Sus scrofa: one gene and its partner. The protein of the gene in region 1 interacts with the protein of each later gene in a pairwise test. Links are inferred from orthologs where the notes say so. Each region holds a gene or a part of one and is shown in the gene's direction. Other genes may lie near its edges.

Region 1 (7,263 bases):
GCTAATCATCACAAACTCTGTCCAGGCATCTTGCTATGGAATTTTACTCCACTTTCAAAAGCTGCAAGTGTGTGAGAAGAAAATTAAAACAAACACACAGAAAGCCGTATACTATTTATGTAGCCAAGTCCATTAGATATTATTCCTGAGATTTTTTTTTTAAATGACACGGAGATGGAAACATTTGAAATATACAAGGGAAGGAAGGGGGAAGGTATGAAAAATAAAATTTACTAAATAATATCTATATGACAGATCCTCTACTTGGGGCTTTCATATGTATTTTAACTTTCACAACCTAGCAAAATAGGCAAACAAATTATTGCCATTTGTACATAGGAGGAAACTCTGACTTATAAACAGTTACTGACTGTCTAGATCATAAAACTAGGTAAAGTGACTGATTAGAAACAAGATTTGCCTGACTTTTAAAGCCTAAGATATTTCCACTCTCCTAGCTATTTAAAGAAATCCTTAATTGCTTTGGAGAATCATACACCATCTTTTCCCAAATAACTTTATATAAGAATATCTCTTGCATAAATCCATGTTTCTTCAATGTTTGTTTGTTTATTATTTATTTATTTATTGCAACGTAATGGAAGTTTCCAGTGGTCAAATCAGAGCTGCAGCTGAGGCCACAGCCATGACAACACTGGATCTGAGCTGCATCTGTGAACTACATTGCAGCTTGCAGCAATGCCAGATCCTTAACCTACTGAGTAAAGCCAGGGATTGAACCAGCATCCTCACAGAAACATCAGGTCCTTAATCCACTAAGCCACAATGGGAACTCCTCAATGTTTAATTTTAATGGAAGTGGTAAGGGCTCACATCTCCCTATAAATTATACTGGAAATAAAGGTCAGATTAACAGGATTAAATTCTATTGGAATATACACTAGAGAATAGTAAATCTCATTCATCTTGTCGTGGTAGAAAAGCTAACTTACAAACAGTAGAGCAAACACTAGATTATTTATGATTTTTAAGGCAAAAGTACCATTTTCAAAATCAATTTGTTGCATCCGAATTCACCTTCAAGATTTTTTCCTCTTAAATATTACTTTACTTGGGGAGAGGAAGTGGGATGGACTGGGAGTTTAGGGTTAATAGATGCAAATTACTACATTTGGAATGAATAGACAATAAGGTCCTCCTGTATAGCACAGGGAACTATATGCAATCTCCTGGGACAGACCATGATGTAAAATTACATATATATACATATATGAAATATATATATATATAAAAATTTTTTTGGTCTTTTTGCCATTTCTAGGGCCATACCTGCGGTATATGGAGGTTCCCAGGCTAGGGGTCTAATCAGAGCTGTAGCCGCCGGCCTACACCACAACTCACAGAAACACCAGATCCTTAACCCACTGAGCAAAGCCAAGGATCGCAATCTCATGGTTCCTAGTCGGATTCATTAACCACTGAGAGATACTGGCACATTATAAATCAATGATACTTTGATTTAAAAAAATTTAAATATATTACTTGGTTATTGTGGCCTAAACTGGCTCTGAAAATTGACTCATTTTTATTTATTTTTTAGGGCCACACCCCACACCCGTGGCATATGGAGGTTCTCAGGCTAGGGGTGGAATCGGAGCTGTAGCCACCGGCTTACGCCAGAGCCACAGCAACGTGGGATCCGAGCCTCGTCTGCAACCTATACCACAGCTCACAGCAACACCGGATCCTTATCCCACTGAGCAAGACCAGGGATCAAACCGGAAACCTCACTGTTCCTAGTCGGATTCATCTGCACTGCGCCACGACCAGAACTCCCCAAAATGACCCATTTTTAATCACAAAATGCCATTGTTGGAAGAGCCTTTTAGATATCAGTAAGTCGAGTGTTTAAAAATTCTTTTGGGCCTAATAATCCTCTCTTCAAATAAATTTGGGACTTAATATGGAAACACAAAAAAGTAGAACTGGGGAGTTCCCATCGTGGCTCAGGGGTTAAGGAACCTGACTAGTACCAATGAGGATTTGGGTTTGGTCCCTGGCCGAGCTCAGTGGGTTAAGGATCCGGTGTTGCCATGAGCTGTGGTGTAGGTTCCAGACGCAGGTAGGATCCCACGTTGCTGTGGCTGCAGTGTAGGCCAGCGGCTGCAGCTCAGGTTCGACCCTAGCCTGGGAACTTCCATATGCTGCCAGTGCAGTCCTAAAAAGACAAACAAACAAACAAACAAAAGAGCAGAACTGCACTGACTGACAGGTACTAATCTAACACTTTCCTTTTACTGATGGAGAACTCACCTGGTTTTTACTGACTTTCTCTATCAAACGTCATCCCTTTATTGTAATTACTACTGCACATATCCATTTTCCCTACTACACTGCAAGCTCCGCAAGGGCTGGATACACAGCACCTAGCACAGAGCTCCTGCCCACGGACTTGGGCCCAAAGAAGGGTATCAACTCGCTTAACCCAGCCCTGAATCAGAAAGACACCCCAGCCCAATACGGTCTATCAGTAAAATGTTTTTAAAACGAAGCTAGTTGTCCTCCCCTTTCCACGCCTCGCGAACCTCTATAATTCTAGATTGGGATTCTCACACTGAGGCCCTTGCTGGTCCCCTGGTGGTCAGAAGCTTCATGCATCCCAAGAGCATTAAGACGCTTCACGACGGTACTACCTGTACAATGTTTTAGTAATAGTGAGGCCAGTCCCGTTTCAGAACGCCAAAGCCTGACTCTCTAGAGAACCAGAAGCCACGCAATCGGGGCAGCGGATAGGCAAGAGGATTTCGGCCTCTTTCGCTTTTTTTTTTTTTGGCCGCCCCGCCAGGGATCAGATCCGAGCCATAGTTGCCACCTACGCTGCAGCTGCTTGTGACCTTTGTTTTTAACTTTGTGCAGCTCAACCTACAGTTCTAGTGTCGCGAGCCAGGGGAAAGTGAAATACCTCTGCAACCGTGGAAAGGAGAGGACACCGGATCTCAGCCTGCTCCCTACCCGCTCAGCCCTAAATCCCGCCCCCCACCCCGAAGCCCCGCCCCTCCATTTACCAGCGTCGGTGGGGGCCGTGCTGAAGACTGGGTCTGCAGAGGTGAGCCCAGCCACCTCCCAGAGGAAGAGCCAGGCCACGGCCCGGCCGGCTACAGCCGCGGTAGCCAGGACGCCGGAAACGCGCACCTGGGAAGAATGCTCGGGGACCAAATGCGGTCGTGAGAACCTACACAAGCCTTGCTCCGCTCCTAGAGCGCGCTGTCACAGAGTTAGCGACCTGAACGGAAGACTCCCTCCGCGCACGCCTGCTGTCCCGCTCTTGCTCGGCTCCCGGGAGCCTAGGCCCGCGAAAGTTCCGGCCTCGCGGCAGGCAATGGCCCCGCCCCCTCGCCGTCCACGCCCTCGCCCTGCTGGTTGGGGGCGGGGCGAGGAACAGCGCAAGCGCCGTGACATGCGCCCGGGCTGTTGCTTTGGGAATCTCTTGGTGGTCTCAGCCCGACCCGGGTTCCCGCACGTTGTTCAGCTAGTCGGCTAGCCGAGCTCTCTGCGTCTTTCTCCACTTGCAAGTGTTTGCGGATGCGGTCCTCCTGCTGAGGATTTCACCCTACAGTCACGTCTTTGGAGCTATGGCTGTCGCCTTTCTGCAGCGCCAGGCTCTGCCCGGCCCTCAAAATTAAATTTAGAACTCTTCTGTGCAATGCGGTTGGGGAAAACAACCTGCTTGCGGAGGTTTTAGACGTTGGCCTGCAGAAGACGCACTTTCTCTACGTCTCTATGGGTAGGTAAGAACATCAGCCTTGCCCTAATGGGGACGTGGGTAGAAAGAGGGTCGTCTACCTGATGGCAAAACCCGTACACTTTTAAGTTAAGATTTTGCCCGTCATTGATCCCTGGAGAAAGGGATTAATGTCCAGGAAGAAGAGCTGAGTAAATATGTCCTTTGTCTTATGGATTAAATCTATAAGCAAAGTAGAGAGTATCCAATGCAGATTGGAGCAGAACAGAGAGCTCTAGGACAGATGTCTTAAAGAGGGAAAAGATGTCAGAAGATATTACCTACAACTGAAAATAGCAGTGTAAGCATGCTGTTAAGAAATATGGAGATAAATTTTGGAAGAAACGCTTAAAAGAATTGAAACTATTTTCCTATTGGAGAGGGGAAGGGCAGAGGACCACAGTTTTTTATTATACGCCTTATGGAATTATATTACGTTTAAACAGAATACTAACATTACTTAGTAAAAATAAAAGTTTAATTGTAAAAAGAAAAGAGTATAGTCAAAAAACTACATTACTGAATATCATGTGAATACATCTTTTTTTTTTTTTTTTTGTCCTTTTAGGGCTGCACCCTCGGCATATGGAGGTTCCCAGGGTAGGGGTCCAGTCGGAGCTACAGCTGCTGGCCTACTCCACAGCCACAGCAACTCAGGATCTGCGAACTTCAGCATAGCTCAGGGCAACACCATACCCTCAACCCACTGAATAAGGCCATGGATTGAACAACATCCTCATGGATACTAGTCAGATTTGTTTCTGCTGTGCTACAACAGGAACTCCCATCATTTATTAACATAGCTACTTGCTTGAGTGTGTGGAATTTATATTGTGCTCAGTAGGATCTCCCAGAAAATTTACTAACAGAACAGATTTTAGTGAGGTGAACTGGGAGTAGTATTTGTTTAAAAGAAGAAGAGGAGTTCCCATCGTGGCACAGTGGAAACGAATCCGACTAGGAACCATGAGGTTGTGGGTTTGATCCCTGGCCTCGCTCAGTGGGTTAAGGATCCAGCATTGCGGTGAACTGTGGTGTAGGTTGCAGACGTGGCTCGAATCTGGGGTTGCTGTGGCTATGGTGTAGGCTGGCAGCAACAGCTCCGATTAGACCCCCTAGCCTGGAAACCTCCATTGTGCTGTGGATGCCCTAAAAAGACAAAAGACAAAAAAAAAAAGAAGAAGAAGAAGAAAGAAGGGATGGAGTGGGATCATTGTGTCAGATCAGAGGCAGAGCTCAATAATTTGAAAAAGCAGTTTTTTATATATGATCCATTTCCTAAGAGTGAAAATTCTTTTTTTTAAATGATTTTTTATTTTTTCCATTATAGCTGGTTTATAGTGTTCTGTCAATTTTATTTCTTTCTTTTTTTTTTTTTTTCTTTTTGTCCTTTCTAGGGCCGAGACAGCATATGGAGGTTCCAAGGCTAGGGGTCTAATCCGAGCTGTAGCCGCTGGCCTATGCCACAACCACAGCAACTCTGGATCCAAGCCGTGTCTGCAACCTACACCAGAGCTCACTGCAACGCTGGATCGTTAACCCACTGAGCAAGGGCAGGGACCGAACCCAAAACCTCATGATTCTAGTCGGATTTGTTTCCGCTGTGCCATGATGGGAACTATACAACAAAGTGATGCAGTCACACCTACATATACACATTCTTTTTCTCACATTATCCTCCATCAAGCTCCATCATAAGTGACTAGATATAATTCCCAGTGCTATACAGCAGGATCTCATTGCTGATCCATTCCAAAGGCAATAGTTTGCATCTATGAATCCCAGATTCCCAGTCCATCCCACTCCTTCCCCCTCCCCTTCCCCCTCAGCAACCACAAGTCTGTTCTCCAAGTCCATGAATTTCTTTTCTGTGGAAAGGTTCATTTGTGCCATATATTAGATTCCGGATATAAGTGATATCATATGGTATTTGTCTTCCTCTTTCTGACCCTAAGAGTAAAAATTCTCATGACCAATAGTAAGGGGTGAATGATAGAGATTATGGTATATCCATAGGACAAAACATCTGCAGTCATAAAAATTTGCATTTTAGAAAGACATTTAATGACAAAATTACATAAGCTGTTAAATTTAAATGGCAGGAAATAGGTATAATATAAAAAACATATTGTAGCTAAATACACACACACGCACAACTATGCCTAGAAAAAAGACTGGAAGGAATCAGGGTGATTATTTTATATGTTCCTTCCCCTTCCCCACTCCTGCCCCAGTTTCCTACAATGAACAGGTATTAAATAACTATGTTCCTGTAGTAATTCTCTAATAGAACTGAATTTGAAGATATCATCCCTGTGCTGCTTTACCTCTAGGTTCTTTGACATTTGCAGATCTTCCTGAGACTATCATGGTCACATCTAAAGCAGTTCCTAAAATTAAGTATATATGGGCATTGAAAGCAGGGAAGGAAAGAGGGAATGGAATGTATTAACCTTTAAAATGGCTGTTTCTTATAACTAAGAAAACATCGTGTAATGAGAAAAATAAGTTGACATAAAAGCCATGTAAGCTTCATTCCCTTGTACATGTGCTAATTCTGCATCAAGTCTGCTTTTTTGATCAGGCTTCTAGACTGTTAACACTTAGAGGATGTACAGGCTGTGTCTTACATTATATATTGAATTAAAGAATGGATTGCTTACTGTAGTCCAGGCATTGTGCTGAGCATATTGTGGTGAACAATGGATATGTCCCCTAAACATATAGAGCATATAGAATAGAAGGAAAAGATAAGTGAATAAATAAGTTACCAGAGTTCCCATCATGGCTTAGTGGAAATGAATCTGACTAGCATCCATAAGGACGCGGCTTCCATCCCTGGCCTTGCTCAGTGGGTTAAGGATCGGTGTTGCCGTGAGCTATGGTGTAGGTCGCAGATGCGGCTCAGATCTGGCGTGACTGTGGCTGTGGTGTAGGCCAACAGCAACAGCTCCCATTCAACCCCTAGCCTGGGAACCTCCATATGCCGCAGGTGCAGCCCTAAGAAGACAAAAAAAAAAAAAAAGTTACCAAAACTCAATGAGTTTTAGAATGACGGGGAAAGGACAAAGGAGACAGGTCTGGTCTGGTGAACCTCTCAGGACATAATGTATAAGATTGACATAGAGGCTGCTTGTACATACATGTTTAATTGGTAAATGAAAAAGATTCTATAAACTGATTCTTGGGTTCATACATAATTATGGGTTAAAAATACACTAAAAGATCCAAACTGAACTGCCTTTCTAGGCTCATGTGTGAACAAACCTACACCCTTCAGTGAACCGGGGATTCTACAGACTAAGAATAACCCGGAGCCAAACTGAACTTTCAAGGTATCTCTTGAAGTACTGAGCTTGAGCTGAGCAGGCATCTCTAGAACTGGACAAGAGTCAGATCTGCTGGGGAGGAAGAATAAGGGGGAGTGGGATTTATCCAACACTTATTTTTTTTCCGTTTTAGCAGGAAGTCATTATGTGACTAATACGTTTTCAGCAGATTTCCTCTGATTTACCCTGAAG
Region 2 (7,334 bases), on another chromosome or scaffold:
CTGAAAGCGGAGCTCTAGGTGCAGATCTAGAAAAGCCTACGGATTTCTGCTCTGTGACTGACTGCCCCCGAGTTCCCTCGGCCCCCAGCCCTCAGATCAGATCCCCGCGTGTTATTTTAAATCACAAGACTCTGTGCAAGAGGTAAATCCTCACAGCTGAGGAGACGGGGCTCGGCAAAGTCAGTGGCCTGAGAATGAACAAATACTGTAAATTCTCAGTCTCAGGAAACCCACCCAAGGCGAATGTGCTGGTAAATGTTTCACGACTGGCTCTCTGTTTTTCTGTTTTTTGTTTTTTTAAAGCCCTAATTTATAGTAATTGGCCATCTCCTAGCATTTCCTCCTGCAGTCGACTTCAAGCTACCAATGGGATAGCATGGAATGTGATAGCTGGTGGTCATATGCTCCCTGCAGCATTTTATATCATTAAAAGAAAGGGGGAGAGTTCCCGCTGTGGCACAGCAGGTTAAGGATCTGGCATTGTCTCTTCAGCAGCTCGGTCACTGCTGAGGATGTGGGTTTGATCCCTGGCCCAGCGCAGTGGGTTAAGGAGCTGGCATTGCTGCTGCTGTGGTGTAAGTCACAGCGGCTGCTTGGATTCGGTCTCTGGCGCGGAAACTTCCATATGCCCTGGGTGCGGCCATAAAACACCACCACCAACACCCACAAAAAACAAAAGAACTCCACAGTCTTCACAATTACCTCGGCCCCATCTCCCGCAGTGCTAGAGAGACGGCACAAGCCCGTGACAACCCCTCCCCCCACGCGTGCCCCTCCCGCTTGGCTACAATCACAAAGCCGTGGCGCCATTCCATTCCGGGTTACTGCCCCCTGCCCACTGCCTAGGGTGGGTCCCTGCTGCCACCTGGCTGGTGAGTGACCCGGTTCCAGAACCCCACGCCTGGGTCGGCTTCATAGATCCAATCTGGGGCGACTGCCTTAGTCTGCGTGTCGCAGACGCACAGCCCAAGGTAAGGGCTGGAATGCAGCTTACTGGGGAGAGGATTCTGGAAAATGCCAGCCGAGGAAGGTGACCACGCCAGGAGGGGAACTAATGAAGACTGGGTTCCCAAGCAGGTTCCTCTTTAACTGGCGCTCAAACCGGAAGCACTAAAAGCTAGTGGAGAACACACCTTGGACGCACGTCCTGTCCCAGGGGTTCCCACGCATTGTTGCAGGTGCTCTGGGGAGATACACATTCCGGGGCTCTTCAGGTCCGCCCCAAACGCGGGCAGAGCGGCCTCTGGTGGTTGGAAAACGCCATGGCAGGCAAATCATCTCGGGCGCCGACAGCTGCAGGCTGGCCCAGCTGCAGCAAAGGTTCTGTTTGAAGGGCATAGGGGCTCTGCCGACAGAACTGTTACAGAGGGTCTCCTAATATTGTGAATGCTGCTGATTGCTTTTCAATCCGCTACAACGTTTGCAAGGTGCAATTACCCTTGCAGAGGAGATTTTCATAGTATAAAGATAAAACTCTAACAACATGGGGGAGTGAGAGAATATAAGTACGCCAATTTCCTCATCGCTCATTGCGGGGAGCCAGCAGGTAAGAGGTACTTTTATAAATAATGATTCAGATAAAGTCACAAAATTTTCCCCCGTTGGAACTAAAAGTAATGTAATTTTTAAACTTAGGAGTTGAAAGAGAAAATATATTCTTACCCTTTGAAAAGATACTGTTCGTGGTTGACGGGTCAGGACGTACATCATTTACAGCTATAATGAAAAGAACCAGAAGACCTAGAAAGAAATTGTAGTTGGGTCTACAATACGCAGGTGATAGGTGAGTAGGTAGGGTGGACACAGAGACTTTTAATGTTTCTCCCTTCTGTTTGGATTTTTAACCATTGGTATGAGTTACTTCCACAACAAACAAAACAAAGGCAAATGAGACATGGTCTAATTACAAAAAAAACAACAACAAAAAAACAACTTTCAAACACCCTTTAATGGAATATTACCCAGAAGTTAAAAAGAATGAGGCTCAATCTATAAATATATACATCAAAAGACGTTATAGAAACTCAGTAAGCATAGGCTCCAAATTAGGAGAGTGGAAAAAGTACTTGCGTGTATGTAACGTATCTATGTATAAGGTTGTCTGGAAAGACCTATACCAATTTGAACAGATGCTGCCTGTGGAGGAGGAGATGGGCTGGTCAGGACACCTCGACTTTTACTTTCTTACTTGACAAATAGCATTTGTATCTCACGAGAATCTGCAGACCACCCGTATTCCCTGAGAAAATGATTCCTTAAGACCCGCTACAGACCCACGGAGTGAGAGTCCCGGGGAATTCTAGAATCTGTATTTTCTCCTTTAAGGTAGTTGTGAAACCCCTCACCTTCCCCGTTATTGCAAAACTGTGCGAGCACACAGAGTGTGAAGAACAGCACAACGGCATACTGCATATACCCTTCACTGCGCCGCACCGTGTGAATGTGCCCTCTCGATGAGCGTGCACACCTGCACACACACGCACGTAAGCACATGCCTCTCAGTAAGCGTGCACACCTGTACTCACACATTTCGGCCGCACCTTGGAAAGCAGTAGCAGACTCAGGACCTTGCCCCGGATTCCAGCACGCGCGTCCACAGCAGCAGCCTGCAGGCACACCTGAAACACTTCAAACACCTCTCTTTACCCAACCTCCGCGGCCCGGCCCGGCGCGGATCCCCAGAACCGCGGGTTCACCGCCCACGCCTCTGAAGATCCCGCCCCCGAGGCCCCGCCCACCTGGCGGCGTCCCGAGGCCCCGCCCCGACGGGGGCGGGCCGCGCGCCAGCGTCGGGGGCGTGGTCTCGGCTGCGTGCCTACGCGCCGTGCGGGCTGCGGCGTCGGCCGTTGGCGCGGCTTGGGCGGTTGTCTTGGAGAAGCAAGATGGCGGCGACGGCGGCCGCGGTGGTGGCGGAGGAGGACACCGAGCTGCGGGACCTGCTGGTGCAGACGCTGGAGAACAGCGGGGTCCTGAACCGCATCAAGGTAGGGCGGGAGACCGGGGCCCGGAGGAGGGGAGGCCGGCCGCGCTTGCGGGCCGCGGGGCCTTTGTGGACGGCGAGCATCACAAAGGGGCGCGGGGCGCGTCGGCAGTACCGCCGGGGCTGAGGTCCGAGCCCGCGGGCTCCCTCGGAGCGGTCCACGCGGGGTCAAGGGTCACTCCCGGGGAGCCTCACGGCCCGGCCAGCCTTAGTCGGAGGAGGCCGACCCCGGCGTCCAGTCCCCGGCTGCCCCCACCCCGTCCCCACACGGCGTCCGGGGGTCCAGTCCCCGGCTGCCCCCCGCCCCCGGCGTCCGGGGGTCCAACGCCGCATGCTCCCTGGCTCTTCCCCGCCTTTGGTCTCAGCTGTCGGGCGGCGAGCGTCTCCACCTGTAAATGGACTTACAGAGCGTAAACCAGAGAGGTGGGTGCTGAGAGACACCCCAGGGCAGGATGGGGGACTTGGGAACCACAGGTCCCTTTCTTCACGGCGTCTCAGGACGCTTTCCGACGTGTCTGTGCACCTGCCGACTAAGCACTATCAACCTGCCCCTTTTCGTTTTGAGTTTTGAAATTGCCGCGTGTGCGCTTCTTGTTATGAAAATTGCCTTGATAATTTTTGTTCCTTTCCTCACCGCACCTCCCTCCCTTTTCAAAGGCCGAACTCCGAGCTGCTGTGTTTTTAGCACTAGAGGAGCAGGAAAAAGTAGAGGTATGAAATCGACAAATCGTAATGACTGTGTTCCTTTATGGTTAATTTCTTTTTCTTTTTTTTTTTTTTTTTTGTCTTTTTTGTTGTTGTTGTTGTTGTTGTTGTTGTTGCTATTTCTTGGGCCGCTCCCTCGGCATATGGAGGTTCCCAGGCCAGGGGTTGAATCGGAGCTGTAGCCACCGGCCTACGCCAGAGCCACAGCAACGCGGGATCCGAGCCACGTCTGCAACCTACACCACAGCTCAGGGCAACGCCGGATCGTTAACCCACTGAGCAAGGGCAGGGACCTAACCCTCAACCTCGTGGTTCCTCGTCGGATTCGTTAACCACTGCGCCACGACGGGAACTCCTATGGTTAATTTCTAATTGCCCAAAAACCATTCTAAATGTTGTGTATAGTGGGGCATAGCCAAGGATGATTTTGAACTTTAGTGTTGGGAGAGAGTCAAGATTATTCTCTCTTCGTGTATATTTTAGAGTTTGGGGGTAAAGAAAGTTAAGGCCGGTGCTAAATTTCATAGGTCCCTCTCCGCTGGGGACATCTGAAACACAGGTTAAAGCAGGAAGAAAAGGTTTCATTGTCAACAAGTTTACCGCAGGATCGGTCAGAACCTTTAACCTGCCCATATGCCTGCGAATCCCCACCAGGTGGAGGGGGTAGGAGGCAGCTTTCCCCCAGGTTATCTGGCCCCTGAGTTATTTTATTTTACTTATTTATTTATTTTTGTCTTTTTGCCTTTTCTAGGGCTGCTCCCGCTGCATATGGAGGTTCCCAGGCTAGGGGTCTAATCGGAGCTGTAGCTGCCGGCCTACGCCAGAGCCACAGCAACGCAGGATCCTTAACCCACTGAGGGAGGCCAGGGATTGAACCCGAAACCACATGGTTCCTAGTCAGATTCGTTAACCACTGTGCCACGACGGGAACTCCCTGAGTTATTTTAAAATCATGTCATTTTGGAAGTTCTCTTGTGGTGAAGTGGGCTCAGGATCCAGCATTGTCACCGCAGTGGCTCAGGTCACTGCCTTGGCGTGGGTTTTATCCTTGGCCTGGGAACTTCCACATGCCTCAGGCACTGCCTCCTCCCCTCAAAATCTTGTAGTCTTTTCTTGGGTCACAGGTCCAGTCACTTCTCTGTTTACAGGTGTATTTAGTGTTTCTCTCTGTGGCAGGTCTACCACTGTCTGAGTAAAACCCCCGGCCTGTTGGCAACTGCGTGGTCAAGGCCTCGCTTTCCCCTGACAGCTCAGTGTCTTCTCCTCACTTTGGACTCCGGTTCCCCTTTACCTTCCTGAAGGCCTTCAGTTCTTGCCTCTTCTGTCTTTGTCCTCGCTGAGCTGCCCTTGTTCTTAGCTGATCTGGACCCCGTGGTCCGGGTCTCAGGGGCCCTCACTGCCTTGCCCTTCGCCATGCTTGGTCTGAGGACAGTCTCAGGGGTCCCTGCGCTCAGCAGATGAGCTCCCTCCCCGTCTGGAGCGGCTGAGGCCCCCCCGGGGGGGGGTGCTTCCCACCCCGGGAGGCCCTGGGCCTTCCCACCGGCCTCCCGCCTCAGCCGCTTCCTGCCCTCTGACGGACGCACCTGTGACGGACGCACCTGTCTGTCCCTCCCGAGGAAGATGGAAGCAGCAGGTGTGAACCCTTCCCGCAGGCTGTCCCTCCCCTCGGAGGAAGCGCCCCTGCACCCGGCTCCTCTCCTCCTCCTCCCTTCCTGCGCAGGAGGCCTCCCTCTCTCTGGGCTTGGCCTCCGGAGTGCTCCTGTCATGCCTCTGCCACCGCCTGTGACCCGGGCCTCCCCTTTTTGCCGGCTCTGCTCTTGGGCCTGGAAACAAGTTAACTGCTCGCTCCAGGAGGAAGCTGGTTCCGACTCCAGTTCGGCTTTTGGTGCCTTTCTCGCTTTTTCCCTCATGGGCTCCTCTGGAGAGAGTGTCTGCCTTGTGTTCCAGGCACCAGGCGCCCTCTAATTCATTGACATCTTTTTTTTTTTTTTTTCTTTTTAGGGCCACACCTGCAGCATGTGGAAGTTCCCAGGCTAGGGGTCAAGTTGGCACCGCAGCTGCCAGCTGCGCCTCGGGGATGCTCCTCGGCTTGTTTCCGCTGTGCCACTGACTCTGTGACTCCTATGCCTCAGTGGTGTCTTTTGCTGCTGCCGGGAAGACGCGCCTGATGGAGTGTATCTTCATCCTGTCCTGCCTCAGGCCTCAGCACAAAATAGTTCCTGTCGTAATCAGTAGTTGCAGGGTGGGTTTAACCATAGGGGTAGTGTTTTACCTAATATCTTCACCAGAAAATTAAACTTTAATGTACATTTTATAGTGGTTTTTAGGATAAACATATAACGCTTACAGCGTTTCATTTTTTTTAACAGAACAAAACTCCTTTAGTCAATGAGAGCCTGAAAAAGTTTTTAAATACAAAAGACGGTAAGATGTTTGTTGTTATTTTTGTCTGTCTCTGAATTTTCAAATCTTGCCTCCATTTGGGAGAAATCAGGCATTCCAGATTGCCTTTCGAAGTCTGCGATGCTTTCAGGTTCTTATATTAAGTCGTATTTTATTGTACAACTGTTGAGTCGCCATTGCGTATCAGTGTTACTGGAAATTGTTGGTTAAAGCCAATTTTACTGTGAAACTGATGTTATTATAAAGAGCGAAACCCTAGTTCATTTAGGAAATGTCAGATTGTCGTACTAACACTTCCAGACTGATGATCCTAATGAGAGAATCAGGAGACTGAAATTTTCATTACTTAATTGTATTATTCAAAGAGAAGAAATGTGTGATTTTAAGCGTTGAGAAGCTTCTCTTCTCCTTTTGCTTTGGTTATTTTCCGTCCCACTGTCAGCGAGGAGGCCTCGGGGCCTCAAGACCCCCTCCCACCTCCCTTCTCCTCTTTGCAGGCCGGCTGGTGGCTAGTCTCGTGGCGGAATTTCTTCAGTTTTTTAACCTTGACTTTACCTTGGCTGTTTTTCAACCTGAAACCAGCACGGTAAGAATGATGCCTTTTCCATCTCTCTTTGAAACCGTCTTTGATGCAGATGAGTCCATTGTAAGCGGAACAGTGACAAAATTTGATAACTTAGAGTGTCTTTCATAAAGATTATTTTTACAGTCGATTATCTGTTTCTCAAAACCTGCCTGTGCTGTCCGACAGCTGGCACCAGTGTCCCTGCTTCAGGGGGCTTGACACAGGTGTCGTCGTCGCGTTCACCTGTTCTGACGTTAGTCGACTTGCGCTGCAGACTTTGAATGCAGGGACTCGTCGAGAAAACATGCACTTTTTAAAGATAGACGTTTCCTTGCCGGGAATGCGGGCCTCTTTGGGTTTAGAGATGTCTTTAAGTTCGGGAGAGATTTTTCTTTGATCTGTGAAAATAATGTTGCTGTATTTTGTGCACTGACCCTCTCCCATCTTACCTCTTTCACAGTTTCAGGGTCTGGAAGGTCGAGAGAACATAGCCCGGGATTTAGGTATTATTGAAGCAGAAGGTACTGTGGGTGGACCCTTGTTGTTAGAGGTGATCAGACGCTGTCAGCAGAAAGAAAAAGGGCCAAGCAGCGGGGAGGTAAGTTCAGCCCTTTGCTACCTCTCTGCTCCTCAGTCGTTGCCTCTCTAGGGTGGCCGTGCAGGTCAGTGTGCACGTTCGAG

Evidence for each region. The genes of interacting proteins can lie anywhere in the genome.
Region 2: the proteins of CEP19 (region 1) and FGFR1OP interact in binary tests that used the Homo sapiens proteins (3 or more experiments, as listed by UniProt). The two-hybrid records come from large-scale screens. The link is inferred for Sus scrofa from reciprocal best matches to the Homo sapiens genes CEP19 and CEP43.

Annotation. Positions count from the first base shown.
Region 1 is NC_010455.5:133,416,962-133,424,224, forward strand, and holds the start of CEP19 (centrosomal protein of 19 kDa), read left to right. Parts: upstream 1-3,228; 5' UTR 3,229-3,741; coding exon 3,742-3,749; intron 3,750-7,204; exon of another isoform or gene 7,205-7,237; coding exon 7,238-7,263. UniProt on the Homo sapiens protein: Required for ciliation. Recruits the RABL2B GTPase to the ciliary base to initiate ciliation.
Region 2 is NC_010443.5:2,116,308-2,123,641, reverse strand, and holds the start of FGFR1OP (FGFR1 oncogene partner), read left to right. Parts: upstream 1-2,809; 5' UTR 2,810-2,882; coding exon 2,883-2,984; intron 2,985-3,637; coding exon 3,638-3,691; intron 3,692-6,054; coding exon 6,055-6,109; intron 6,110-6,585; coding exon 6,586-6,674; intron 6,675-7,113; coding exon 7,114-7,251; intron 7,252-7,334. UniProt on the Homo sapiens protein: Required for anchoring microtubules to the centrosomes. Required for ciliation.